Yarrowia lipolytica: one gene and its partners. The protein of the gene in region 1 purifies or fractionates together with the protein of each later gene. This does not show direct contact. Links are inferred from orthologs where the notes say so. Each region holds a gene or a part of one and is shown in the gene's direction. Other genes may lie near its edges. The genes, in order: YALI1_D14300g, YALI1_F36132g, YALI1_D11442g and YALI1_A19483g.

Region 1 (7,424 bases):
ATGCTAACCAAGGCAACACAGAGACCACTGTTGAGCCCGAAGCAGAAGGGGAAGCTGACAAATCTGCGGAGGAGGACAAATCGGACAAGTCTGCTGAGGAGGAAAAGACAGACAAGTTTGCCGAGGAGGAAAAGTCCGCATCTGCCGAGCCGGCTGGTAAGAATACGCCTAAGAGCAAGTCGACTGGTTCCAATGGTGTCATAACCATTGATGAAGAATATTCGGCACCTGAATAAGGATTATGATTTATTAATAATTTACACGTAGAAATACAGTACTTGTACAAAACACAGCCTGCAACTTATAAGTTAGCCCTATCACACAACCATCTTGTGTGTGTGTGTGTGTGTCTCTCTCTCTCTCTCTCTAATCATCATCGATGGCAGCAGCCGATCTAGACACTCCCCACTTTTCTCGGTCTCGTCCGTCTTTGTACATGTTGATATCTTCCTTGGTTGGTTTCTCCATGGTTGCCTGTCTGAGGTTCTCATCTTTCAGGGCCTGTTCTTCCTTTTTGCGCTGGTCCGATTTCAGTTGCTCAACTGTGTATTCAGCAAACGCCTGAGGCTCAATTGCTCCACACAATAGTTCCACGGCTATTGTGGAGTTCTTACTCTTTAAACTCACCAGGCGGGTTCGGACGGCCGACTTGTATTCCGGCGAGATTCCGTAGAGGTCAAAGAGTCGCTGTTCGACCTCGTTTGCCACCTGAGTCGAGATTTCGTCGTCCTCCTCGTCTTCGTCGGCGGCTTCTGCCAGGGCCTTTTGCAGCGACTTTTTCGTTCCGTTTCGCACCTCCATGGGCGATATCGCCGACACCTTTTTTGTGCGCGCCTCGGCCTGTGATTTCAGGTACTTTTGCTTCCAGTTAGTCGGCAGCTTGGCCATGTCTATGTGGTTCTTGAGAGGAAGGCAGGTGTGTATGGAGGGAGCTTGGATAACTTGGAAGAAAGGTGCATGAGACAGGCATGAGGGATGCTGGGATCAGGTTATGAGGAGTGGTGAATGGAGAGATTTTTCTGTGTTCCAGAGCAACAGTATGACCAATCAACATCTTATGATATCACCACTGTGGCCGCCGTCTCATTTATCTCTTTCATTCCTGGGCTAGTCTCTGCCTACTGTCCAGCTCGTCATGGGTTACCCTGCATATGCAAGATAGCGAAATTTTGGCAGGTCTGGAATTTTTTTTGACTACAGTTTGACAGAGTGCAGGCTCGACTTGAAACAGTACACAAACATGGCGAAATTATCTCTGGCCGAGCAGATTTCTCAACTGGCTAACCCCAAGCCCAAGGATGTGGATATCGAGAACTTTGAGGACCGTGACGATGGTTCCGAGAGCGGTGGAGACGTGGATTACGACAGTGATCTAGCGACAGAGCACTATGTCAAGGTCGGCAAGAGCAAGCTGCGAGATGATGCTCCTGCTCTAAACCCCAAGTACAAGGCCGGCAAGGTGAGCAGGAAGGCTCTTTATGACGACGAGGACGAGGACGGCGATGGCGCTGACGGTTTCATTGATGAGGACGACGAGGACGATGAGGAGGACGATGAGGAGGGAGAAGGCAATGGTTTCATTGACGACGAAGTTGAGGTTGATGAAGAGGACCAGGACGAAGACGGAGATGAAGACATGGAGGATGAGCAGGATGAGGACGAGTCTGACGAAGAGCTGTCTGAGAACGAGAATGACAGCTCGGCTAGAGCCACCCTCAAGGAGCTGCTGAGGGAGGAAAAGAAGGCGTCCAAGCAGCAGGCCAAGGAGGCTATTGTTTCCGACGCACAAAAGGGATTCGCCATTCACAAACAGACCGATCTATACGAGACACTTCTGGACGCGCGAATCACATTCCAAAAGGCAGTCCAGTCTGCCAACGCTCTTCCTATCAGCGATACTAAGGCCGAGGAGCTCGGTGAAGACATCACCAACACTCTTCAAGACACAAAGGCAAAGTTGTCGGACTTCATCTCCCAAATAGCCAAGATGCGACACAACATGGCTGTGCAGGACAATGTGTTTGCTGCCGACTCCGTCAAGCTATCGACCAAGCGAACTTTTGATGCCACTCTGGATAACATGGACAAGCTGGATACAGAATTCAAGGCATACGAGACTTCTGTGCTGAGCAAGTGGTCTCAGAAGGTGCAGGCCTCATCTGCGGCCTCCGCTCTCAACTCCTCCAAGTTCAAGGCTCTGAACCAGTCTTCTGCCAACCAGGTCGCTGCTACTCTGGCGGACATGGACCGACTTGTCAAGCGAACTCGAATGAATCGATCCAACGTTGTCATTCTTGGCGAGGAACAGATGGGCGCCATTCAGGACGCCGAGGGCGAAAACTACTACATCTTTGATGACTCAGACTTTTACCGAAACTTACTCAAGGATCTGATTGACCGACGAATGGTGGATTCCGGCTCTCAAAGCAGTGGCGTCAAGACCTGGACTGCCACAAAGGCCAAGACCAAGAAGAACGTGGACACAAGAGCATCCAAGGGTAGAAAGCTGCGATACCATGTGCAGGACAAGGTGCAGAACTTTGCTGCTCCCCGGCCGGTTTTCACCTGGGAGGACGATCAGATCGACGAGCTGTTTGCCGGTCTTCTGGGGCAGCGAGTCAACTTCAACGAGGACGATGATGGAGAGGAGAAGGAGAAGGAAGAAAAGGAAGAAAAGGAGGAGCAGGAGTTGGTTATTCCCGACGACGGTCTCCGAATCTTTGGTTAGTATCAGTGGTTTTAGCATGGGGTTTTAAGTAGATGTACTTTAATAATAGAGGCAGGTGCCAAATGAAAATGAAGAGTATACAGGGCGTATTAAGTAGTGTAATAAGAATAAATAGTAGTAAAAGTACAGTATATACTGGCATTATTGTTTGGCCGGTTTCTTGATCCCTCTGAGTTTCAATTTCGGCCGTGGCTTAGACTGTAGCGTTCTGGAGAGCTCTCTAGTTTGTTGTGCAAGTGATCCTTTCTGCTTGGTAGAATCAAACAGTCCACCGTGGGATAGAGACTTCAACCTGAGTTCTTGCTCCGCCACTAAACCCCTTTCCAGGTGAGGAACCATCACTTGCGCTTCCTTAGCAAGAGGTAGATCCCGCAGAAGTCCCATTTTGTCCTTGAGAAGGTTGTCTCTTTGGTCTTGGGCTTCCAATGCGCGTTTTTGACCTCTGAACCTGTTCCTCATCTTATATGACAGGTCCTGGTGGTATCTGGCTTTGTCCAGATGTTCATCATACATTTTCTGTGTCTCTTTGGCCGCGTCATCAGCCGAAAGCACCGACGATTTGAAGGTCCATTCAGCGATTGTCTCTCTGCTGTCTTCGGACTTAATATGACGTTGTTTGAGCTCCTCCTCGGCCTTTGCAGCCCTTTGTTTGACGACTTCACGCTCGACCGCCTCAAAAGGGTTGCTTGGAGTTTCTTCCTCTCTCTTCACAACCGACTGTGTGAAGGTAGCTCCTTCTACGGTCACGTAGGTAGCGTTCTTCGGATCCGTCTCAATGACAATGGGATGTCCACACTCAGCATGTTTGATATCAAAGCGCCAGATGGGAGACGACAGATAGCTGCCGTGGCGTGTTTTGACCGCGTTGAACCGTACTCCTTGAGCTATGGTCTTGTCACATCCATGGCATTTGGCAGACAGAGGAAGCTCGAATCTGACAGTTGGTTTGCGCGGATTCGCTCCCGCAAGCTGGTTGGCGGACGACTTGCCGTCGTAATCTGGCGGGTAGTATTTATTGGTCGCTTGCGACATTCATGGGTGTTGTCTAAGTGTTGTGTATTGTTGGCTACAATTGATTTTATTTTCTCCATATGCAGGTTGATAGCGATGAGGTTATTGATAGGCATATTCTAAGTATTTTTGTTAGGAGTACAGTTGGTAGTTACTTGGACCAGGTGGAAGGCAGTAGAACTGCGTGGAACGAGAGCATGGCCACGTGGGGAACTTTTAAATAGCCATTTCCTCTGGGAATCGTCAGATTGTTATTTCTATCCAAGTGACCATTTATCATCCCTCCTTCCATTCTGTTGCCACCTGATTACTAAGTGCAACCGCGCATCTGCACATTGCCACCTTCCACCTAACCTCCATCAAAGCCAAAAGTCCCACACATCAAACACCACACGACACCACCACCACAAACCACCACATACAATGCCACCAAAATCTGATTGGGAAAAGTACAAGGCCCCCATCGACGAGGATGCCGCGCAGGAGAAGATCATTCCTCTGTCCGAGGGCGACATCCAGGTACTCAAGACGTACGGAACTGCTCCCTATGGTACTGCCCTCAAGAACATCGAGAAGGACATCAAGGACATGCAAGCACGAATCCAGGAGAAGGTCGGCATCAAGGAGTCCGACACAGGTCTGGCCCCGCACCACCTGTGGGACACACAAATGGACAAGCAGCGAATGAGCGAGGAGAATCCTCTCCAGGTGGCTCGATGCACCAAGATTATCGAGACTGCTGAAGACCCCGGAAAGAGCAAGTACGTCATCAACGTCAAGCAGATCGCCAAGTTTGTCGTGTCGCTGGGCGAGCGAGTGTCGCCCACAGATATCGAGGAGGGGATGCGAGTGGGAGTCGACCGGTCCAAGTACCAGATTCAGCTGCCTCTGCCACCCCGAATCGACCCTTCCGTCACCATGATGACGGTCGAGGAGAAGCCCGATGTCACCTACTCGGACGTGGGAGGCTCTAAGGAGCAGCTGGAGAAGCTGCGAGAGGTTGTCGAGCTGCCTCTGCTGTCTCCCGAACGATTCGTCAACCTCGGAATCGACCCTCCCAAGGGTATTCTTCTATACGGACCCCCCGGAACCGGTAAGACTCTGTGCGCACGAGCCGTGGCTAACCGAACAGACGCCACTTTTATCCGTGTCATTGGCTCCGAGCTAGTGCAGAAGTACGTTGGTGAGGGTGCCCGGATGGTCCGAGAGCTGTTCGAGATGGCTCGAACCAAGAAGGCTTGCATCATTTTCTTCGACGAGGTCGACGCCATTGGAGGAGCCCGATTCGATGACGGAGCCGGAGGAGACAATGAGGTGCAGAGAACCATGCTAGAGCTCATCACTCAGCTCGACGGTTTCGATCCTCGAGGAAATATCAAGGTCATGTTTGCCACCAATAGACCCAACACTCTAGATCCCGCACTCCTGCGTCCCGGACGAATTGACCGAAAGGTCGAGTTCTCACTGCCAGATCTCGAGGGCCGAGCTAACATTTTCCGAATCCACTCAAAGAGCATGTCTGTCGACAGAGATATCCGATGGGAGCTCATTTCGCGTCTGTGTCCCAACTCCACTGGTGCTGAGCTGCGATCCGTGTGCACTGAGGCCGGCATGTTTGCCATTCGAGCCCGCCGAAAGGTCGCCACTGAGAAGGACTTCCTGGCTGCCGTCGAGAAGGTCATTAAGGGTAACCTCAAGTTTAGCAGTACTTCTCAGTACATGCAGTACAACTAGTCTGTGAAGATAGAGGTAATAATAGATGATGTTATGATAATGGTACAAGCACTTGTACCAATGAGTAGAGAGACGCGCTTTGTGCTGTAACAGACAACGTAGACTTGTATGTAATGCTTATCCTCAATCGTTTTTGAGCGGTTGACCATCTCGTCACTCGAGGTAACTGGCCGCAAGTACATTGATAGAGGTCGATGATACGTAATTCCTGATGTTGTATAAAAATGCGATTTGTGACTTTGTCTATCTATATAAAACCCCACTGCTTCTTAGCAGTCCTATTTCATAATCAGTCCTTTTCTTTGCGTTTGCTTGTTTGTTTTTGTTTGCCTTGTGTCCATACTCCAAGGAGCACAAGAGTGTGCCCGGAATACAGAGTGCTGTCCGGAACACCTAATAATGCATATATATATCCTCCTCCAACCGTCAACCAAGATGTACCTGAAGGAACATGGTTCTGTTGATTACTCCCACCAAGACACCAGACCCATGCCTTCTCCCTGGCAACTGGCAATCAGAGAGTAAGGAGGAACACCTGGCTTCTCGGGGTCCTGCTCGTCGTTAGGAGCAGCACTTCCAGCGTAGCCCTGCTTGAGTGGAGGCAGGTCCTGGAACTTTTCTTGTTCGATTCGGAACCGGATCTTTTCGTTGGTATCCAAAAACAGCTCCTGCTCCTCGTCAGGACACCACATCCAGGCCTGTTCTCGGGCGACAAACTGCGAGTTTTCAAACAGCAGGTGTGCGGGGATAAAAATGTCGTCGAAGAACTCCATCTTCACCTTGATTCCTTCCGCGGTACAGCTGGAGATCCAGCCCTCTAGTACCTCTCCCACAAACGGCCGGAAAACCACCATTCTGAAGGTGATTTTCACAAATGCAGCACCGTCGCCGGACATGACCTGGCCTTCGCCGACAGTGATCAGGTCATAGACACAGATGCACAGACCCACTCCGTCGATGATTTTGTTAGCGTAGCAGTTGTTAATCTCGTCCACAATAGCGTCGTTGAGCGGCTTTTTGAAGCTGGTGGGATCGAGTCGAATGAGATCTGTGAAGCGCGTGAGAATGAACATTGCGATGGATGAGACCCAACTCAGAGACAATCTTGATGATAGTTGCACGGTGTAGCTGGATATTTTTTAAGGTCTGCATCGCACTGCATATCCCTAACCACATCTTCACTTTTTCTACACAACTCCCAATGTCGCTTAGTAAGAGTCGGTACCAGCAGTGCCCACGATAGTCACCCCTAATAAGGACAAACGTACAAATTCCCAAAGCGGAATAACCTCCTAGAAATACGGAGATAACCGCTCTTCTCCATTCGGACACCTTAGCACCTTAATTTCGAATATTCACACATACTGTACTGACAAAACACACAAGAAAAAAAAAAAAAAAAAAAAAAAAAAAAAAAACCCAGGCCACTCCCAAGGTAATTAAACCCAACGCAATTGGCCATGACACCCGTCGACGAGGCGGAGGATACGAGCAGCTCTAGTGCCATTTATACACTACCCTAACCCGGGCCGATATGTCGACCGACCAACAAAAAAACGTCAACCACAGCCCGACAGTAGGATCGCCCCCAAGTCGTTGAAGAGGCATGGTCACCCAGCAGTCGTATTTTAGGTGTTCTAAGCCTGTGATTGTAACGGGGATCGTACCGGTACTGTGAGACGGGCAGAAGAAGCAATTACGTAAGCTGGAGGAACGCCCGCAACCCTCACAACCGCCGCGTTGGCACTCGTATTGCACTTCCTTTCCTTAGGGGTTGCTGCTAAAAAGTGTCTCCGTCATTCCCCACAATAATTCTCCGGAAAACCTTACGGGGGTTAAGCCTAGCCCAATAGGACATGGTGCGAATGGGTGTGGTCATACCCCAGAGGTTTCGTGGGGCTACCGTCAAGATTGTGACACCTGGCGAGTTGGAAAAGTATCCCATAAAGTA
Region 2 (7,638 bases), on another chromosome or scaffold:
TAGCCCTACAAATCTAAATAGCTACAAACACATCCCACCCTGTCACGCTCTCCCGATGTGAGAGCCGCTGCTCATGCATATATCCTTACATCTTAAAATTAGAGACACAGAGTCGAGTTCCCTCCTACAAGTAAACAGTAACGTGTCGTATCGTACGACCGTAGATGTGCCTAACAATTTCCCTTCGACACCACCGAACAGCAGTGTGTTGCAAGGCCTCTCACACAGATGTGTTACCTGGTTGAGACTGGCACCGCGCCCTACAAGTAGAGACACTTGTACACTTCATGACAAGCTTGTTTGATCCCGCGTACTGTGTGTCCTTACTACACAAGCATTTACAAGAACCATTATGTTTTTCAGTATTTGCCATGAGTAACTTCTCCTTTAATTTTTAGAATTAGGATTGCTATAACAAGTCAGGGACTTGGTTTTTCTAGTTTTTTTCTCACAAGGGTAATACCTTCCTTGGTCTTAGAGAAAGTACTACTTGTAGCTACTTGTAGCGACAAGAGAGAAACATCGGTACGACACTTCACCCTACAGTATGTACTGTACAGCACATAGTGTTACCTACAGGAGCTACTCCCCCTTTCCCCCCCCCCATGGCCCACTAAAGTTACCCCAACTTCCCCACAAAGCCTGCTTGCGATTTGGTTTCATTTAAGACACGGGCACGGTTTGTGATGTTTTGCGGATACCGAGAAAGTATTCAGTTTAGCGCCTCAAGTATAGTCGGGTATCGAGGGTGTCTAGTTCCTGGGAACCTCATAAATGCACTAAAAGTGGCTCTTTTTGTATCCATTGCCACGCTCACATCATTCATAGAATGTACATTTTCCGGACATGCTCATCGGAGTTACAGACATTACGCGACTTTACGACGGGCTAACTACTCTGAGGTTTATTTCCAAAGGTGGGGTATGTATTTGTATGAAAAACTTGCTTTTTGCTGCTTCCGTGTATGTACGAGTCAGACAGTGCCGACGTGGGGGGGTTCGCTAGACTTTTATTTGACTATAGATTTTGATAATACTCTGTACTGTACCAGGAGTTCTGTTGATGCACCTAACCACGAATGAACCTGACTTTTCTGCCTAAAAGTATTGTATTTGGTACAGTAAGTAGTTGTACTGTAGGTGGCTTCCGTGGGCCCTTACAGTAACTTGTCTACATCATACCCAGGGGATGGCCTTATAAAGCTAGAATCACTCTACCTTCGAAGGGGGCCAAATCTGCTCACAGAATAAACAACCACTTTACCCAAAAGGCGGCTGTGGTGAACACACTTTATCCAGCCGGGTGGGGCTTTACCATTCGTTATTGCAGCCGTGTTTGGTAGAACATTGTCCACCAACTGGAGCAGGCAATTGAAAGAATGGTCGCTAATTGTATTTCATAAGTCACGTCACATTATTATCCACCTTTTTCTGCAATAACACATTTGATCTAACACAAATACCCCCACAGTCTCATCAAATCAAGACATCTATCGTCTTTTGTCATCTGTCTATGCTTTTTTGACCAGAAAAGGCTGAACCCTATGCGGTCAAGGTTGGCTAGGTTCAGAAAAACTCTGCTCGTGAGTCATCATGTGTTTGAATAACTGTTCTGGCGGTTTGGGGTTGTTATACGACGGGTATTTCTCATCCACTCAAGTCTACCAACGAAGTACAACGTTGCCAAGCATTATGGTGCCCAGATCATCTCCTCCTCCTTCTTGGCACATAAGCAATGCACTACACCAGCTTCTTGAACTCTGTCTTGAAATGCGGGGAATCATTGAATTGATCTGAGACACAGTTCCGAGGCCTATATAACCTATTGGATGTCCTAGAAGTGTTTTTGGCACCCATAAGCCAGTATGGATAAAGAATCACTAAGTCACGACGAATACACCGAGTCAGGGGGGCTTGAGCATGTCGAGTACCCTCAGGGTCAAGTCCCGCAAGAAGTTATCGACGCTGAAATTGCGCAACTTGCTGAAAAGTACGGTATAAATCAAAGGAAACTCATGTTCAAGGTCGACATTTGTGTCATTCCTGTCATCTGTATCCTCTACATTCTTGCCTTCCTGGATCGAGTCAACATTTCCAACGCCAATGTTTACGGAATGAGTAAAGATCTCAATCTCTACGGTGACCGTTTCAATACCGCTCTTGCAATCTTCTTTGTTCCTTATGTTGTCGCTGAAATTCCTTCGAACTGGCTCATGAAGAAGTTCACGCCGCACGTGTGGTTGACAGGCAGCATGCTACTGTTTGGAGTAACTCTTCTGGGTCAGGGCTTCGCCAACAACTACTCTGCACTCCTGGCCACACGGTTTTTACTAGGACTCTTTGAAACAGGAATGTTTCCCGGGTCTTTCTACCTGATCTCCATGTGGTACCGACGAGAAGAGGCCCAAAAGCGATACTCTTTCTTCTTTTCAAGCACAACCCTGGCCGGAGCCTTTGGAGGTCTCATTGCCGCAGGTATTCATAATCTCGATGGAGACAAAGGCCTCGCTTCGTGGCGGTGGATCTTCATCATTGAAGGTGCCTGTACTGCTTTCATCTCTATCATCATGTTCTTCTTAATGGCCGACTTCCCAGAGGACGCTAAATTCTTAACTGAGAATGAGCGGCAGTTCATGAAAGAGAAGCTTGAAGTAGGAAATGCAGGTGCCAGTGAAGCCGAGAGACCCATGACTTGGAAAGACGTTAAGAGTGTCTTTTCTGACTGGAAGGTGTGGGTCATGGGGTGGATGTACTTCGGCACCATTGTACCTGCATACGGATACGCTTACTTCGGGACAGCTATTGTTAAGACGTTAGGATATTCTGATGTCAAGACCCAGCTGTACTCGGTCCCTCCCTGGGTGGCGGCCTTTGGTTTCTCAATGTTGGCAGCCATCTTCTCAGACTACCTCAGACATAGATTCTATTTTGCAGTGTTCGCCGGTATCGTTGCTATAGCTGGTCTGGCAGTTGTTATTGGCGTACACGACAAAATTGGAACTCGATATGGCTCTCTGTTCATGATCTGTGCCGGAACCTACACTGCTATGCCTCTGTTTGTGTGTTGGACCCAAATGAACTTCTTAGGCCATCATAGGCGAGCTATCGCGTCAGGATGGCAGATTGGGTTCGGAAACTGCGCTGGGTTCATTTCGACCTTTGTTTTCCAAGCAAACGACGCTCCATTTTATACGCCTGGTTGCGCCGTTTGTCTTGCCTTCGCTTGTCTCTCGCTTGTTATGCAGTTTGTCTATGCCGCTGGAATCACCTGGGAAAACAAACGAAAGCGAACACCAGAATACATTGAAAAGTTCAACGCTCTCTCCGAAGATGATAGGAGAATCGCAGGAGAGCTAAATCCCAGCTTCTTCTACTACTATTAATTTATATGATTATCTTAATAAATACTGCATATTTTTATATACATACTATGTACAGCTACTGTTGCAGCTTCTTCATTCGAGCAGCAGGATGTCTGCTCAACTCCTGGTTGTTAGGACTTGCCTCAGATCGACTGATCATCTGCTTCAGCTCAAATAGGACGTCATCATCCTCCTGACCAAGGAAGGTAACGGCAGTACCTCGCTTACCGGCTCGTCCAGTACGTCCGATTCTGTGTGTGTAGGACTCAATGTTGTTCGCCATCTGGAAGTTGACGACCAGCGAAACATTAGGAATATCAAGACCTCGACCAGCAACATCAGTGGCAACAAGCACATCCACAGCACCTCGCTTAAGATGCTGAACAGCCTGTTCTCTCTGCTCCTGTTGTTTTCCACCGTGAATAATAGCTGTTCTCCATCCTGCTGCAACCAAAGCATCTGAAACGGCCTCACAGTCTCTCTTGTAGTTGAGGAAAACGACAATTGGGGGTCGGTATTGTCGCTTACTAATGATATCAAGAAGACGACGCTTTCGTTTCTCGTCAGTGTTAAGAAATTCAACCAGCTGTGTGACTGTAGAACCCGCCTGGCCAGCAGAACCAATAGTGACAATACCGGGACGTCGAAGATACTTCTTAGCCAGCTTCTCAATAGCCACGGGCATGGTGGCAGTGTACATCATGGTCTGTCTGTATCGCCTGGTGGATACAGCCGCAAGGTTTTCGGCCTCATCAGAGTCGGGCTTAGCATTTGACGAGGGTAGAGACGCCAGAACCTTCTGGACTTGCTCCTCGAAGCCCATGTCCACCATACGGTCGGCCTCATCCATGACCACATAGCAACACTGGTTTAGAACCAACAGTCGCCTGTCAATGACATCAAGCAAACGGCCAGGGGTAGCAACAATTAGTTCTGCTCCTTCTTGTACAGCCAGAGCCTGCTCTTGAGCAGAGTATCCACCAACGACAGAAACCACCTTGAAGCCGAGTGGTGCGCAGAACTTGACTGCTTCGTCTTTGATCTGCATAGCCAGTTCTCGAGTGGGGGCCAAAATAAGACCGTAGGGACCATTAACCTTCGATCTCTCATCTAGCTTGGGTAATTCACAAATGTAGCTGATCAGAGGGATCAGAAAAGAGGCAGTTTTACCACTACCTGTCTCAGCAACGCCAATCACATCCCGAATGCCTAGAGCAATAGGAATAGCAGCTCTCTGGATAGGCGTGGGCTCCTTGTATCCCATTCGAGAGATTGTATCACGTACAATTCCTGGTATTTCCTTGCACTCATTCCACGACCTAAGAGGATTGGGAATATTTCCTCCGCCCTTGGTGACAATGCTGTAATCTTCCTTGAAGATACGCCAGTCACGCGACGTCATGCTTTCCACAGGTTTATCAGACCAGTGTGCGTCCTCCAGGTCACGCTTTTGGCGTTTGGGCACCTGCCCATCTCCGGAATCGATACTGTAGCTGGGCTGATATGCCTTGGAGGTGTCATCTGCAGCACTCCAGTCGAATGAAAACTTTCCAGAGGTTGATTTTGGCTTGGGTTTCGAAGGGAGAGGCTTGGTGGTCTCCACAGTCTCCTGAACAACTGACCTTTTCAGGTCGGTGGTAGATCGAATATCCTTCAACGTAGTCTCTTCAGATGTCGTGTTTTTCTGGATCTGTTTGGCCTTCGCAGCCATCTCGGCCCGCTTAGCCTTGGAGATGAACTTTGGCTTAGAAGCCTCTTTCTTTTGAACCTGCAAAGCCTTGAGCTCTTCTATCGACACTGGCATAGTAGTTCTTGTTGGTACTTGTAGTGAGGTGACCACTTGTATATTATAAATTGGAGTTCATTCAATTAAGTTCATGGTCCATATGCAGCTGGAGATCAAGGTTGTTAAGGTGGGTTGTTACTTGGAGTGGAGGTGCGGAGAGAGGGTGTGCGACAGTGGCGAATATCTGTATCTATAATCCCACATCACGACCAGTACTTCTTATGAAATCATTTAGCTTCATCAACCAACTTGAGGTTCATACATGTATACTCCTATCGCATGCACACATTATGCTATTGTACGCCATAAGTACAGGTTATGAGCTACACCTTTCTGTATAATCTCCATCTAACGACATCAATCCGTCGCTCAATTACCTCAAATGTTGAACCGAACCCCATCTACAGTACGTCTTCTCCCAATAACACGCTGCTCGTTCGGAATCACCTATACGTGACCACTTACAAAAGCACCACCAATTAAGGTTGTCGCCACACATCACCACACTCAATCACATAGGATTCATCACCACACAATCATACTCATTTCAGCACAGACAACCATGACCACAGACCACCCTGTTTTGGCTGAAATCAAGCAATCCTTCGCCTTTCTGGAGAAGGCCGTCGCCTCCTTCGACCAGCGATTCGTCCTGCGAGTCCTACGAGGTCTGCCTGCTCTACGAAAAAAGCTCACTCCAGAATTGCTGGCACAAATCGCCGTCATGACCTACCCTGCTGGCGATGAGCGAAGAAGCGGGTTTGTTGCTCTGGCTGGAGTCAACCCCAACACCGACGAAATGGAGGTTGATGGAGCCTCTGGCGCCACTGAGGCCACCACCCAGCCTCTACCAGAGATCGACATGTACGTTTCACTGCTGTTCCAGGCCTGGCTGCTCCACGAGAACCGAATTGACGACTTGCGGAAACTCAGCGAGCACGTGGTGGCTAGATTGAGAACCTATAACCGACGATCGCTCGACTACCTTGCCTCCAAGATCTGGTTCTACCTGTGTCGAGGTGAGGAGCTCAGTGGCAACCTCGAGGCTGTCCGACCCATCCTGCTGGCATCTCTGCGAACTGCCTCTCTCCGACATGACCCCGAGACTGAGGCCTCGCTGATCACCCTGCTGCTGCGAAACTACCTGCTCTGTGCACATGTGACCCAGGCCTCTAACCTCGTGTCCAAGGTCAACTTCCCCGAAAACGCCGCCAACGCTCTGGCCGCTCGTTACATGTACTATCTGTCCAAAATCAGAGCAATCGAGCTTGACTACACAGCTGCCCACGCCCACATCACTGGAGCCATCCGAAAGGCGCCTCAGACCCCTCTGGCTGCCGGCTTCCTGCAAGCCGCACAAAAACTCAACATTGTGATCGAACTGCTGATGGGCGACATTCCCGAACGAAGCGTGTTCAAGAGCGGACGGGAGCAGAGCCTCAAGGCTTACTTCGAGGTGGTCAAGGCTGTGCGAGTCGGTGATCTCAACCAGTTTGCTGACACAATCAAAAAGTATGCATCCGTGTTCAAGGCCGATGGTACCTACTCCCTGGTTCTGCGTCTGCGACAGAATGTCATCAAGACCGGTATCAGAATCATGTCTCTGGCATATTCACGAATCTCTCTTAAGGATATTTGTATCCGTCTGAGACTCGAGTCGGAGGAGTCTGCAGAGTACATTGTGGCCAAGGCCATTCGAGATGGTGTCATTGAAGCCACCATCGACTCGGAGCGAGGATTCATGCAATCTAAGGAGGTGCTGGACGTGTACTCTACTAACGAGCCTCAGCAGACCTTCCACGACCGAATTGCCTTCTGCATCGGTCTCCACAACGACAGTGTGAAGGCCATGCGGTACCCCATGAACTCCAACCGAATTGATCTGAAGAATGCTGACGAGGCTCGTGAGCGAGAGCGGGAGCTGGTCAAGGAGATTGAGGAGGGCGAGTTGGACGACGATGACGACGAGGATTTTGATCTTTAGATAGGCTAGCATATGATTTTAGAATGTCCACCATTGTAGGTAATGTGTTACGAAATTGTAATTGGGTTAATGGCAGCTGTAGACTACAACGTGGGCGTTTACTTTGTCCCAGACTCCGTTTCTGTGATGCCCTATTATCCTATTTTATTGCAAGTAACCATGTCTCCTTCTCCTTTTAGGCGAGTATAGTATGTGCAGTAGAGATGACAATAACATAGGTTACTACTGTGTACAAGTACGAGGTTATGAGATCGACAAATAGATGTTTTTGGGTTCATTTACACGGGATAATAAGTAATTCTTATTCGTATGACGGAAAACCAGATGATGGTAGCTTTCCTCTTCAAATACCGGTACAGTACAATAGTAATTAGGTACGGGAACTACTTGCAGTACGTTGGGCCAATTCCTAAAAAACTCAAAATTATTGCTGCAGCTGCAAACCACCATCTGAAGATGTAAATATCACCGAACCTTGACTCACGACAATCACCGACACAGGGCAAT
Region 3 (7,226 bases), about 290 kb from region 1:
CAATTCAAAACCATGATAAAAAAACGACTCTCCGGATTTATGAGCCCGGCTCCTGCTCCTCCAGTAGTCGACCCTACCACGACTGATAGACCCACTCGAGTGTGGGTGCTCAACGTGTGGGAGCCGTCTCTGTTCCATCTCAACATATTTGCGCTCTTCTCGCCTATACATGTCATTGCTCTGTGGTTCGGTCCGCTAAGCTTCGTCCAGGTCTTCATTACTCTGCCCGCCTTTTCTTTCGCTCTGTATGCCATGAGCCACATGTTCCTGGTCTACGTCAAGGACAAGAACATCATCTCGGGCGAGGTGCTCGGCGAGTTTGACAAGAAAGTCGTGCATCCTCTACTTGGAGTGATCAAGCAAGACGCTGCTGTTGGAGCTGACGGATCTTGTGAGTTCTACGACGCTGCGCTGGATAACAAGTCTGTTTACAGAGAGGCCGGCATGGCACCCAGCAAGCCTCCTACCCCTGTCAAACTGGACACCCCGACTCGTCGACGGACGTTCGTGCCTACTTCCGGACAGCTCCCCGGAGCAGGTGCCCAAGCGGGTGACGGACTTCGCCATTTCTCCCACAGACTGATGGATGACCGACGAGGCTCTTCAGGATACACCCCGTCCAGCTTCGGCAACACCGGACCCAGTGTGCCCAACCATACCACATTGTCTGGATCTCCTGTTGGCCGTCCTTGGAGGAGAAAGCAGTAGTGGACGTATAAATACGGCCCAACTACCAGTATATATTTAATTAATGCATTCCTTCATAATGAATATCGCCGCCCTATAGTGAGCGCTGACGTGCAGTTGAAGTGTTCGTACTGCACAGTCAAAGACTCGTGGGCGGCCAGGATCTCGCCATACGCTGAAATGATATCTTACATGTTCTATTAATTATAGATGCTACCTAATTATATACCTAAATATAATCATTCCTACTCGGTATCTCTCTCTATCCTAAAGTACTACAAGTATAGAGCTCTCGCAGTCGCATGTACTAGTCCTCGCACAACCTCTTAAACCTCGTATCCGAAAATGAGCTCTTCGGCCCGCTTGGCGGTCCAGGACAACCAGCCCGTCTTCTCAGCGAGACCCGTTTTCTTGACTTTGGGGTTGGTGATGGTCTTGGAGGAGGGCTGCTTGAACACGGTGTTGGTTCCGTCTCGAATCTCCAGCCGCTTGGCGCCGTTGAGAGCAGGCAGCGATGTGGTCCGAGGCAGACTTCGCTCCGAAGAAGAAACAGATGCAGATGCTGAAGGGTTGGGGTAGAGGCTAGTGTTCTGCTGCTGAGTCTGGGGGAACTTGGACTTGATGGGCGAGTCTTGGTAGTCTGAGTCCATCATGCTGGCGTCGTGCGAGTCCAACATAGAGGCCGAAATGGCGTCAAAGTCGCGCATCTGCGATGGCGTGTACGGCTTGCAGCCAATTACGTACTGGCCGGCAAACTGGGTGCCGTCTTCGGCCAGCGCTCGGATCACAGACGCCTTGTTGTCATAGGTGATTTTGATCCAATTTCGGCCAGCAAAAACAGGAGGTCTGTTTCCGGGAGGAGGCCGCTTGACTGGGGTGGTAGACAGACCGAACGAGGCGTCGCTGGGCTCTACGTTCTCCATGATCTCGCCAAAGTTGTTAAAGTGCGACACGATGGACGGCGTGAGATGCTGGGGGAACCCGTAGACAACGACGGACAGGTTGCCATCGCTGCCCATCGCCAGTTTCCGGGGGGTGTTAGCATGGTTAAAGGAGGCAGTGGCTCGCAGAGTCTTTCGAGCGGCTGTTGGGTTACTGCTGAAAGTCTCCGAACGACGCATCCCCGATCCAGCCGAGTTACCTCGTCGAGCAGCACTAAAGGGCGATCCTCGCGAGTCGTAGATGGACTGTGTGGGTGGTAGCTCCTCCTCGGTGATGGTATGAGTCTGTTTCTTGGTTCCGGAGGGCTTGGGGGTGCCGAAGGACGAGCCTCCGACGCCCGAAGGAGGGGATTCTCCTGCCTTGGCAAGCGACGACTTCATTGTAGGGGAAGTAGACGCTCTTCTAGTGAAGCTGGCAGATCGTTCGGGGGTACGATCGCCGGCGTAAAAGGATGACTTCTGCTTGATGGCCGAGAGATGGGAGGGCACGAATCGTCGGTCGTTGGAGGTCCAGGAAGGAGCACCTCGAGACGATCGGAAGCCTGGAGTCAGCGGGGCACTGTGTTCTCTCATTTGCTGGTTACCGGCACCATAGCTGTTGCCGTTGGATGCTCCTCGTAGATCGTAGGCCGATTGCGAGTGCGACAGGCTGTACGAGGGGGCCCCTCCGTTGTTGTTGGCGGAAGTTGGAGTGGACAGAACGTCGCTGTTGAAGAAGGAGGACTGGGACTGGTTGAGCGACGCATTGCCCAGGGAACCAAACGACGTGTTACCGTTAATGGTGGACGTGCCAAAGGTCGACTGTTGGCCAAACGAGGGCTGGGCCTGGGTCTGGGTCGTAGAAGAGGTGCCAAAGGGGCCTCCAGTGGACGCTCCGAAGCCTCCAGACGTCGACGAGGTGCCGAATCCGCCGGTGGACGACGACTGCGAGTCGAACCCATTAAACTGACGCTTGGCGGCTTGTCCAAACATGCTGTGGTGCGGTTTCGTGTTTTTTTTCTGCCTGTGTTTGTTTGCAAATAAATGTTGTTGTGAACAATGTGCTTGTCACAGGCACTCACAGGGTTGGGACACAGTTTGAGTTGGGAAGTAGGGTCTTGACTGCCAGGTCGTGCTGTAGGTGGGTGAGTGGGAAGTAGCAACGAGTAGCAACGAGGTTGATTGTGGCACATATCGTGACCGAAAAAGATACGGAATTAATCCTTGCGAGATAGGAGGGCGATTGGCAGACTCAATCACTCTTCCGATCCGCTCAATCACCCCTCCTGGAGTGTCTGAACCATCGCTGTGTGTGTATCCATAACCTCTTCTGTTATGGTCAAAACAAGACCCAAGCCATATGCTGTATCTAGAATGCCGGCGAAGACAAAAACAAGTTTTGTTCTCATCAGGAGAAGTAGTAAACCAGACCCCATAAAAACCGGACCCCAGGACCCCTATATATAATCTTGTTCCCCCGCCACTCACCACATTCAAAGGGTCTTGCTTATTAAGCGACAACCTCCCAAACCTTAGCTGTCAATGTACCGCCACCACATACGACATCTGGTCCAGACACATCTCACACTCTCAAACGACACAATGACTCTAGAAGAAACGCTGGCAAGCGCCAAGACCGCCGGAGACAAGGGCAACCTCGTGGAGGCCGAGAAATTGTACCGGGAGATTCTCGATCAGAAGGCTGGAACCAACGAGAAATCGATCCAGATCCAAGAGTCGGCTCTCATCAATCTCGGCACTCTCTACGCCTCCAACAACAAGCCCCAGGACCTCGCAGACCTCATCCATACTAGTCTGACGGTAATGAGCGGCTTTGCCAAGTCCAAAACCGCCAAAATCATCAGAAACCTCATTGATCTTTTCGCCAAAGTGCCGTCTGACTGTATCGACCTGCAGATTGCCACCACACAAAAATGTATCGAATGGGCCGTTTCGGAGAAACGAAACTTTCTGCGACAAAGCCTGCAGACCCGGCTGGTGTCGCTGTTCCTGGAGAAGAAGACGTACTACGATGCGCTCAACCTCATCAATACCCTGCTCAAGGAGCTCAAGAAGCTCGATGACAAGATGGTGCTTGTGGAGGTGCAATTGCTGGAGGCCAAGGCGTACCACGCTCTCAGAAACATCCCCAAGAGCCGAGCCTCTCTCACCTCTGCACGAACCTCCGCCAACGCCGTCTACTGCCCTCCTCTCACCCAGGCTGCTCTAGACACCATGTCTGGTATCCTGCAGGCAGACGACAAGGACTATAAGACAGCATTCAGTTATTTCTACGAGGCATTCGAGGGCTACGTGGGCCAGGAAAACCCCAAGGCTGGCACTGTACTCAAGTACATGCTACTGTGCAAGATCATGTTGAACCTGGCCGATGACGTGGAGACCATTCTCAACAATAAATCCGCACAGGCGTACCAGGGTCGAGACGTGGACGTTATGAAGGCGGTGGCAGTGGCCTATGCCAACCGATCGCTCAAGGAGTTTGAGCACGTGCTGGAACTATACAAGGAGGAGGTCCAGGCCGACCCCGTCATCAGAGTGCACTTCAACGACCTGTACGACTCGCTGCTGGAGCAGAATCTGCTCAAGGTGATTGAGCCCTTCAGCTGTGTCGAAATCAACCACATTGCTGAGATCATTGGCCTCGACACCCGACAGGTGGAGGGCAAGCTGTCTCAGATGATTTTGGATAAGGGCATCAAGGGAGTGTTGGACCAGGGCAACGGCTGGCTATTCATCTATGATGAGCCTCAGACAGATAAGACTTACGATTCGGCTCTGGAGACCGTCAAACACATGTCCACCGTGGTCGATTTGCTGTACGAGAAGGCCTCTTCTCTCAACTAAGCAATGTAAAGTAGCTTAATGAAATGATGAAGATGAGAGGGTGTTATTACTAGTAGGAATAAGACTGGAAGTACAGACTGGAGTATTTTAATACTAATAGTGAGGTCTAATATTGTAGTTATGATTAATTATGCAAACATCTATTTCAGTCACCAGACTAATTCATCAGAGCAGAAGCCTGGAAAATGCACTGGAGGAACTCTTCCAGCCGTCCGGAGTCGACAAAGTCCCGGTAGATTTGTTGCTGGTCGTCGGCAACAAGAACAGACAGTTCGATGGCGTCGGTAACAAATCGAGGGTCAATGTGCCGCGATCTGACATAGACAGACAGTAGCTGAAGAATGACATAGGGGATGTAGATCTGTCTGAGATGAGACAGGTGGGTGTAGTCCTGTGGCCTGATCTCTTGGTTCTCTGTGTATTGTTGCAGGAGTTCAATGAGCCAATCGTGGATCAGCTTGTCGGACTGCCGTGCAATCTCGGTTACCTTATGGGCAATCTGGGTGTTATTCTCATGGGTTCTGGGGGAGTTCATGAGCTCTTCCCAGCTGTGCACGGCGTCCAGGAAGAGAATGAGATCGTAGAGCTGCTCGAGTTCCCGAGCGACAAGCTCGTCGAGCTCGTTACCATCGGCTCCCAGAGTGTCTGCCTGGTATTGCTGCATCAGCATGGGCACATTGAGACGCATACCAGCTTCTCGGGCAGCTCCGACCTTTCCACAAAGCAAGAACCGTCTGAGAAGCTTGACAGAGGCATCGATGGTCTCAGACCACATTTTGACGTCTTCAAACCACTCCACAGCCCGGTAGAGGCGCACATCGGTGTCTTCGACCTGGTTGTCGAACTTCACAGCAATGATGTCAGGAATGACGTACTGGGACATGCTTTCATCAAAGACACGCGCAACAGCAGCCTTGACACATGCCTTGATGTCAACTCCGTATTGGTTAGCCAGGTGTATCTGCTGCTCTCGTTCAGAGGGGTCGGAGATGTTGGCCAGGTAGTAAGAGTATTGGTCAGTGACATCTTCCGAGTCTAGGAAAGAAACATAGAGAGGAACCAATTCCATGTGTCCCTCTCCAGCCAGCCGTTCAACGTAGGCAGAGATGATGTTGTAATGGCTGATATCCAGTTCTTTCTGGCCTCCATATCCATGGCGAAGAGCAAGTAGAAGATGCACAAGAACACGTAGAATGATGGAAGACTCGGAAACAGCATTGGGCTGGCCCGTGCTAGCAGCAACTCTTAATGCGTCAGAGGAGGTGGACGCAATGGTCTCAATTGTGTTGTTGATGACCGCTCCCACAAAGGTTCGGATGGGGTTCATGGCCTGTCTCTTGACGTCAATGTTAGAAGACTCGGCCAGCAGTTCCAGAGCGTCCTGCATGGAAGACACGTGACCAGGACACACGAGTGGGATCAGAGCCTTAGTCTTAGAAGACACTCGGTGAGCATCATTCAAGGCCTGCTCAAATTGATCGCTGCACATGTTGTTAGTGTACGCCAGCAGTTGTGTCTCCCAGCTGTCGCTGACCTCCAGAACCGTGCCTACATCTCCTCCCAGGAAGCCGTACACGGCCTTCTCGTAGTCTCCGATAGGCGACGCAGCTACACTGAGACACATTCGTCGCCATAATGCGGTTCGTGTGGTTCCCACAGCCTTGGCGTCGTCCAGAGGATCGACATCAGTGTCCTCCATGGCTGCAAGTCCGCCAATGGCCATCTTGAGCGACAAGTTTCCGGTCTTCTCAGCCAGTTGACTGGCCTCCTTGATCTGTCGTCTTCGGATGAGATCAAAAATGGCCCGGAAGAGCTTGCTGTCGTATCCGGCGTCTTCTCCTGCAATTGGTTTCTTTTGTCGAAGGGGGGCATCGGCGTCCATCTCCGAAACCAGGGTGCTGGTGTTGCCCACAGATCCTCCCCCAAGTCGTTTTTTGGAAGCAATGTCGCTCTTGGTGTGCATCCACTTGGAGCCCCAGATCTCAATATTCTCGTGGTCCGACGGCGTCAGGTTGTCTTGCAGCCACCGGTTGACCAGAAACGTCTCCATCACACGAAGATGGGTCTGTTTGTACTGTTGAAGCACACTGGCGTCTGAAGAGAAGGGGAATACATCGGTAGTGGTACTGTCTCCCTCCACGTCCATCTTGTCGTCGTTGTGAGTCTCGGCAAACCGCTCTCGGGCCTCAGAGAGGGTCGCAGTCAGCTGCCAGAACCGGGCCTCCAGTTCCCAGTTGCTGAAGTTCTCCGAGTCCATAGCTTCTTCTGTTTCCTGGGCCGTTTGGGCAGCCAAATCTCGCGAAATGTCCATGAATCGGTCAATCAGCTCCAGAGGATTGTCCATCAGCGCCTCCAGGGCCGACGCAAACAGCTGATACTCGTCTTCCATCGCGTCTATGTCGTTTGAAGCGGTGTGGATTAAAAAACAAACAAATGCTGCAGCCCATCACTACCGCACTTTTTATTGTTTTAGGTTGCAGGTTGGGAGAGACGACGACGGGGTTAGGGTGTAGAGGAGCTGCTAATTGGGGATGATGGAAGGGTCTTGGAATGAAATAGATGACTCGGACGGGTTTTTATTGGGGTCTTACGTATATATGTGTTGTTTTTGGCCTTAAATGTGAGGTATTTCCACGTTTTTGATGCTGTTCTTCTTTTCATAACAGTTAACAATATAGTTGACCTTATACTTAGCTTTACAGTTGAACAAAAAACAGTTGAACAAAAAACAGTTGAACAAAAAACACAATTAAA
Region 4 (6,880 bases), on another chromosome or scaffold:
TCACAAGAGTAGAGATAATAGAGACCCTACCCAACTTTATCAGTAGTTCAGTCCACCCACCCATTCAATTTGCTGCTGCTCATGAGCGACAGTTTTAGTATGGCGCCCCAGCATCCTCCCTCGTGCTAAGCACTCGTTCGGTTACTTGGCTTCACTGGCCCATCCAACAATATCAATACCACTCCTGCCACACTTTCGATCCACCTTGATATCAGACAGACCACTGGCATCGTCCAAATACCGATGATTGCTCATGCCGCCCGCATCGGCTCGCTGTTGGGGATCCATCTGCAGCATTGGCAGCAGAAAGCTGGCCAGCAACTTGGCCTCCTCCTTGCTATGGTTGTATTTCTCATGCAGAACTGCCTCCAGTGGCCAGTCCTTCAGCTTGGAGATCTTCTTGAGCTCGCCCTTGTCGTTGAAGTACTCTGACGTCCATTTGCCGGTCTGCAGCACGCTGGTAGGGATCTTGCCGAGCAACTCGATGATCTGCGCAATGTGGTCGTCGTCCTTGGAGTACTTGGAGCCGGTCTGGGGCTCGAACAAATAGTCGCCGGTCAATAGCTCAAACACCAAACACGACATGGACCAGATATCGCTGCTGGCGCCCCAGAACGAGCCCAGCAGCACCTCGGGTGACCGGTACTGTCGCGTCTGGATGTCGTTGGTGAAGTGATGCTCGACCCAGCACGCGTTGCCGAGATCGACGATTTTGACGCTGATGAGCTCCTCGGCCAGCGCGGTTCTCGGCTTGGTGGGCGATACCGATGTGGGGCTCTTGGACAGCTGGTTGCTGGTCTTTTTCTCGTGGTCGTCGTCGAGTCGAACCTCCTCCACCATCTTGGTCATGGTGAGATCGTTGAAGAAGGACGCGTTGGAGCGCAGAGGAGAAGGGAGTGGCTGGGAGCCGGTGATGAGAGATTGTCGTCGCGATCTACGACCGGTTCTGGACCCGGGTTTGGTCTTTTTCGTCTCGACCGCCGCGCGATCCTCCTCCTCGGCCAGCTTAAGCATCTTCTCCACGTCGCCAATCTCAATGAGCACGTTTTCAGGTTTGAGGTCGGTGTGCACAATGCCGCATTCGCGGTGCAGGTAGTCCAGGCCCAGCAACACCTGCTTTGTGATCTGCTTGACGAGCTTGACGGGGATGCCGGCAAACTGGTGTCGTCGAATGAGACCCAGCAGATTTTCGCCCAGCACCTCAAACACCATGCAGTAGTGTGTGCCGTTGGGGCCCACGTGCTTGAAGCTGTCGTACAGGCCCACGACATGGGCCTTGCCTGGATGGTCGGGGTTCTTGCTGCTCACCCGCTCCAGCATTTTGATTTCGTCAATGGCCGTCTCTGTGTAGTGGGAAGCCGACCGCACCACCTTCATGGCCACGTGGCGGTCGTTGTTCTGCGTATCCCGCGCGAGCCACACGGTCGAGAAGTGTCCCCAGCCCAGCTTGCGCACAATCACGTAGCGGCCGTTGGCAAACTTCTCGCCGATCTTCACGGGATGGTAGCCTCCGGGACAGTAGTCGTCCAGCGACTCTTCGTTTTTCTGCAGCACCTCGTCCTCCGAGTCGCTGAGGTCCGTGTTGACGGTGAGTTTCGACATTGTGTGCAACTGGATATGTGATGATGGTCGGTGTTTGTGTCGTATAACCACGGACGAGTACTTTTTTTCTGGTGGATTTCGTCTCGACTAGGCTGGTTAAAAGTGTTTGGTGTAAACTCGGGGGTGTTGTGCTGTCGCGCTGTTTATGTAACGTCGGTTTGTGTCTGCGTCACGTCGTCTGTGTCTCCAACTGAGGGTCGCACGTTCAACTTGTATCAGTATGTCGTCTGGTCAAGTCGTCTCAGAGTACGAGTTCACTAGATATCGCCAAACTTGTTTTGATTTTAAAGTTGCGCATGCATGGCGTGCTGTGGAGGGCCTTGAAGGGGGTCCAAAGAGGGACTTGTAGACGCGCTAGAGACAGAGAAACCCCGCCAAAATACTCGCCCAATTTTTCTCTCCTGATTTCTCTTTTCAGAATCGCGCTGGGACCCCCACAGCCCATTCTAAACACACTCTCCTGCAGGTGCGGCAATCTACCCTCCAACACGATAAGATGAGCTCATGTTCATAACACCGGTTGTAGAGGCCCAAAAGCGGCGGAAAAACGGCTTTTCCAGGTCAATTGCCAATCGGAGCCCATTGCCGGAGATTTCCGCCCCGCCATTTCTTCCCCAAGTCCCCGCGTAACCCTCAGCCCTAAGTACATCCTGTCACGACCCACTTACCCTAACAGAAAACACATCCCAGCCACGCATACCCCATGCATCCACAATGGCAACCCTCCCACATACGAGCAACTCGGCGCGCTTCTTGAGATTAGGAGATAAGCCAGAAAGAGCGGGACAAGTCCGTTGGGGTGGGGGGATGAGTGTGTGGAGGTCACGTGACTCCTTCCGATGGGTGTAATCTGTATATTTTTGACGACTCTCATGCGGGAACATGGTGGTATTGCACTTGGAGAGTATATATACCCTGCTATACAGGAGAGCAAGAGAGAACAGTTGTACTACAAGTGGCACAACCAGCGGTACTTGTACTCTGTAGAACTCCGATTGCACAATTTCCACATGTACCTGAGAGAAGCACCATCTGCCTCTTGTCTCGGCACTGGCTGGTGTCTTTTGTTGTCTTTGGGTGACGTGTTTCAGATGTCTTGACGAGTACGAGTACGAGTATGTACGAGCGAGTACAATACACTTGGATACGATGTGATATCGGGCAGAATTAGAAAAATCGAGTAAAATAGATTGGAATCGGGAAAACCCCCGATTTGATAAGAGTCGATTTTATATATATTTTGAAAATTGAATTGCACAGGTTTCGAGCAACGCGGCCATTTTGACCCCTTTCTATACCAGTTGTTTGGAAGGCCTATATGGTCAATATTGGAATAAGATGTTTTTTAGAGATGACAATTACGTCATATTGGAGGAACATAAAAAGGCGTATGCAACGGACAGAATGGTGGCTCAACAAACTAGAAAAGACTATGGTTGGAATCAGCAAATCAATAGCTCTCGATCAGTCAAAAAATTATCGTCATATTGGCAAAACTGGCCTCATTAGAAGCCCTCTCCAATCCCTTGTCTCATGGCAAAAAGTAACGATCAGTTAGTAAAACTTTTACTACAGTGCAGTACTTGTAGTGTGACCTGGGTCAAAAAAAAAGATGGAGGTAACAAACAGAGCGGGTGTCAAGTCTACAAGTGCATTATTGGAACGGAAAAATTCCTTAAACGGGCATTTCTGGCTACTATACATACATCAGTCGTCTATCAAATAGCAACGAATCTATCTCACGCCACAGAGGAGATATTGGAAATCTGACAAATCCGTCCTTCTTTTCATGCCCATTTCAATCAGTTTATCATCTCTCGGCGTGTCCTTATCCCTCTTATAAGGTGCTGTTTGTTCGTCACCATCAGTCAGCTTTCAGTTGGATACTGAACGAGTATGTACTGTACCGTAGAAGAACATCCTGGGGTAATATTGGCCAACTGACTCTTTCAACCAACTCCGAATCTCATCTAATCCACTTCTGACTCTTTCGTTACCCTCCAGCTCACTTATTCGTCTCACAACCTCACCCGTTCTCTTTAGCAGAGGTACTCCTTCAACTCCAGAATACCATATCAAGAGCCATATATTTCCATATCCAATGGTATCATTTGCACGTCTCCCAGATGCCCATACCGCCAGTTAATCGCATGTCATCAACAGTCCAGATCCATGACACCCCCAGCCCATGTATGACTAAGCAGGTGGCAATCAATACCACTCAACTCATCTGTGGGCCCTAAAAACTCCATCTCCCCCTCTTGTGGAGCCGATAATGACCCCCTTCACTCCGCCTTTTCGCATACTCTTAACCTCTATGTGCATGCACATCGCCACTTAACCTAACTGTAGTGACACGATCCAGCACCACTCAACCACTCAACCACACAACCGCAATCACAACGACAATGTCTCCAATCGCATCTCTGGAAAGCGCATACAAGGCCGGCGACTACGAAAAGGTGGAGCAGCTGCTTTTGCCCCTTAAGGTGGACATGGCCAAAAGCGGGCTTCTGACGTCGCCCAACTCGTCTGGTCATTCAAAGGCGGACCTGGAGGCAGCTCGAACGGCGCTCGAGATTGGCGCTCTGTCTGCCGTCAATCTGGGCAAAGAGGCCGAATTCACCAGGTTTGTGGCGCAATCGCGGCAGTTTTATGGCATCCAGGGTCTTTCTGCGTCGCCCCACGAGTCCAAGATTGTGGCGCTCTATCTGCTGCTGCTGCTGTCGCAGAACGAAATTGCGCAGTTCCACACCGAGCTGGAGTCGTTGGACTTTGACACGGTGGAAAACGACAAGTTTCTATCGTTCCCCATTAAGCTAGAGAGATGGATCATGGAGGGAGCCTACGACCGGGTGTGGAAGGCCATCACCAACAAGGACGCTGTTCCCAGCTCCGAGTTTCTCTGTTTCGCCGACCCTCTAGTATTTGCCATCCGGGGTGAAATTGCTTTGTGCGCCGAAAAGGCATACACCTCGCTGCCTCTCAACAATGCTCGACATTTGCTGTTTTTCGACTCGGACCAGGGCGTGGTGGACTTTGTGCAGGAGCAGCCTGGCTGGGAGATCCACGGTGAGCGAATCACCTTCCCGGGTGTTATCAGCGAGGACGCCACTCTGAATAGCAGAAAGGTGACCGAGAAACTGATTGGAAACTCGTTGGAGTACGCCAAGGAGATGGAGCAGATTATCTAAGGGAGCGACAAATCGGAGATACGATACGGAAACAACAATCTATCGGTACAGTACCGGTTCGGCGAGGATCTCAGTGTCACTACCATCTGTGATCTGGCCTGACCATGATGAAGTATGAATTGTTCTAGATGATGCATATTATAATGAGCAGAAAGTGTGTAGTGATAGTACGGTACGTGTATTGAATGAGGAAACCGCCGTCTCTCATCTAGTGTCCTTCTAAGGTGAATTGTCGTAGGACGATGTACATACGCATGTTGTAGGTCGACTGTTGTACTTGTGGTCACGTCTCACTCGACTGTCTGTGTTTTATTACAAATAATTGATGTAAACAAAATGGGCAAGACCAGTGCAACAGATTGATACTACTTGTATCTACTTATCCATGGAATGTCTGTGGATCGTGATAAGGGTCGTTTGAGGTGATGGAGGATTAGTTGACCCAAGTCACATTTTACTTGAGTTTACTTGGGTATTGTAACAACAGCCGTTGTCTAAATAAAATGGCGTCACGGAAATAAATGAATGTATAAGCAGAAACAACCCAGTATCAGCGTATTCTCTGATCTCGGGAGGGTACAATGTGTGTTTCACTACTGAGAGTGCCTAGTAGGAAAATGTCCAGGGCGCCCTTCTTACCTAATTCACCAGCTACAGCTCAGAGGCCTGCTGCTATCTTGATCATAATGCATTAACCATTTCCTTAGTGTATTGAATTGCTGACGATACTGCACAGTCATGACCTGTTATGAGATGTAGGAGAGTACTCGTAGTCTTAGCGACGGGCTTGACTACGTTCGACGCACGACTTGATCGCTGAAGTAGTTCGCAGTAGCCACCGTCTACGGCCCAAGAGACCCACGGAACATTGCGCCCAAGTCACCGACCACCGAAGGTCCTGTCACAAGACTATGTCTCGTCTTCCCAGGAGAGTAGTCTAGACAACCCATCAAATGAGTTTGCGAAGGAGGTCATCGCCGAAATCACCCACCTTGCAAATATACGCGGCGTTGTTCACCACGCCCTTGTTGAGCTGGTCGGACTTGTCCAGCTCGGTGCACTTTTCCAAAAAGGCGAGCACCTTCTTTCGCTGGGCCTCATCTAACTTGGCAGCATGAACACCGACAACGGTGGTGATTCGCATGGTTCGGGGGGTAATGGGCCCGGCCAGCCCGTCGATTACATGGTCAAGCATGTCTCGATCCATATCCGAGCAGTATGAAAGGGCGGTTTGTAGTACAGACTTGATATGAGCGTCTGCTTCATTTTTGTAAAACTGGGCTCCCAGGGTCTTCAATAGAGCGTCAGTGTCCTTGTCAGAGACGTGTTTGACGACATTGAGCAGAATCTGTGCTCCCAAAAGTCTCAGTTCGGGAATGTAAGGGAAAGCCAGCAGATTAGTAAGTCCTTGTTTGAGCAGTGGACTAGCTGCCAATTCCACACAATAATCCTTCTTGTTGGACGCCAGTTTGAGGAAGTGGCCTCCCGACTGCAACTGGTCCGTGTACTGGCCAGTTTGGAGCAGAAACAGCGACTCTTCAATCAGATGCGGGTACTTTGTCAGCACAGTGGCCAGATCTGACTCATTAGTAATCAGAGTACTAGTCACCGCAATCCAACAGGAGGGCCCAATTCCGGCCAATTGAGGGTCCCAGAACTTGAGATCTTTCAATTGGTACACAAACTCGAGCTGGTTCATGTTGATACCTTCCGAAGCACACACCAGAGCGGTGTAGAGGGCTCTTCTGAGATCAAGAGGGGCCAAAAGAGCGTCATCGGGATTGTCCTGCGATAAATCCACTACCAGCTTGTACAGTTTGTCAAATTCCACCATCTTTCCTGTTTCCTCGTCGTTGACCATGACCAGAAGCAGCTCTGTGGCTCCCGGAACATTGGAGTCTTTCTGGGTACAATTCAGCAGATATTGGTAGACCGCCGCGAGGATTCTGGGGTCCAGTTTTAGTCGACCAATCACCCACATTTGCAGCATGGTCAGCAGAGTGCCTATCGATACAAAGTCGGTATCTGTCAGGGTTTCAAACAGCAACACCAGTCCCTGGGTGAACTCCTGACTGTGAACCAGT

Evidence for each region.
Region 2: the proteins of YALI1_D14300g (region 1) and YALI1_F36132g purify together in Saccharomyces cerevisiae (affinity purification with mass spectrometry; 5 studies listed by BioGRID, with this or other methods). This does not show direct contact. The link is inferred for Yarrowia lipolytica from reciprocal best matches to the Saccharomyces cerevisiae genes RPT1 and RPN3.
Region 3: the proteins of YALI1_D14300g (region 1) and YALI1_D11442g purify together in Saccharomyces cerevisiae (affinity purification with mass spectrometry; 8 studies listed by BioGRID, with this or other methods). This does not show direct contact. The link is inferred for Yarrowia lipolytica from reciprocal best matches to the Saccharomyces cerevisiae genes RPT1 and RPN6.
Region 4: the proteins of YALI1_D14300g (region 1) and YALI1_A19483g purify together in Saccharomyces cerevisiae (affinity purification with mass spectrometry; 8 studies listed by BioGRID, with this or other methods). This does not show direct contact. The link is inferred for Yarrowia lipolytica from reciprocal best matches to the Saccharomyces cerevisiae genes RPT1 and RPN12.

The regions. Positions count from the first base shown.
Region 1 is NC_090773.1:1,426,778-1,434,201, reverse strand, and holds YALI1_D14300g (uncharacterized protein), read left to right. Parts: upstream 1-4,162; coding exon 4,163-5,473; downstream 5,474-7,424. Other genes in the region: YALI1_D14391g (uncharacterized protein), read left to right, coding at 1-236; YALI1_D14333g (uncharacterized protein), read right to left, coding at 367-888; YALI1_D14329g (uncharacterized protein), read left to right, coding at 1,241-2,728; YALI1_D14304g (uncharacterized protein), read right to left, coding at 2,870-3,760; YALI1_D14276g (uncharacterized protein), read right to left, coding at 5,938-6,546. UniProt on the Saccharomyces cerevisiae protein: The 26S proteasome is involved in the ATP-dependent degradation of ubiquitinated proteins. The regulatory (or ATPase) complex confers ATP dependency and substrate specificity to the 26S complex.
Region 2 is NC_090775.1:3,607,542-3,615,179, forward strand, and holds YALI1_F36132g (uncharacterized protein), read left to right. Parts: upstream 1-5,709; coding exon 5,710-7,131; downstream 7,132-7,638. Other genes in the region: YALI1_F36094g (uncharacterized protein), read left to right, coding at 1,865-3,382; YALI1_F36127g (uncharacterized protein), read right to left, coding at 3,438-5,165. UniProt on the Saccharomyces cerevisiae protein: Acts as a regulatory subunit of the 26S proteasome which is involved in the ATP-dependent degradation of ubiquitinated proteins.
Region 3 is NC_090773.1:1,141,120-1,148,345, forward strand, and holds YALI1_D11442g (uncharacterized protein), read left to right. Parts: upstream 1-3,149; coding exon 3,150-4,472; downstream 4,473-7,226. Other genes in the region: YALI1_D11406g (uncharacterized protein), read left to right, coding at 1-708; YALI1_D11437g (uncharacterized protein), read right to left, coding at 1,014-2,600; YALI1_D11479g (uncharacterized protein), read right to left, coding at 4,630-6,861. UniProt on the Saccharomyces cerevisiae protein: Component of the lid subcomplex of the 26S proteasome, a multiprotein complex involved in the ATP-dependent degradation of ubiquitinated proteins. In the complex, RPN6 is required for proteasome assembly.
Region 4 is NC_090770.1:1,944,234-1,951,113, forward strand, and holds YALI1_A19483g (uncharacterized protein), read left to right. Parts: upstream 1-4,010; coding exon 4,011-4,796; downstream 4,797-6,880. Other genes in the region: YALI1_A19441g (uncharacterized protein), read right to left, coding at 1-64; YALI1_A19459g (uncharacterized protein), read right to left, coding at 142-1,602; YALI1_A19515g (uncharacterized protein), read right to left, coding at 5,746-6,880. UniProt on the Saccharomyces cerevisiae protein: Acts as a regulatory subunit of the 26S proteasome which is involved in the ATP-dependent degradation of ubiquitinated proteins. Necessary for activation of the CDC28 kinase.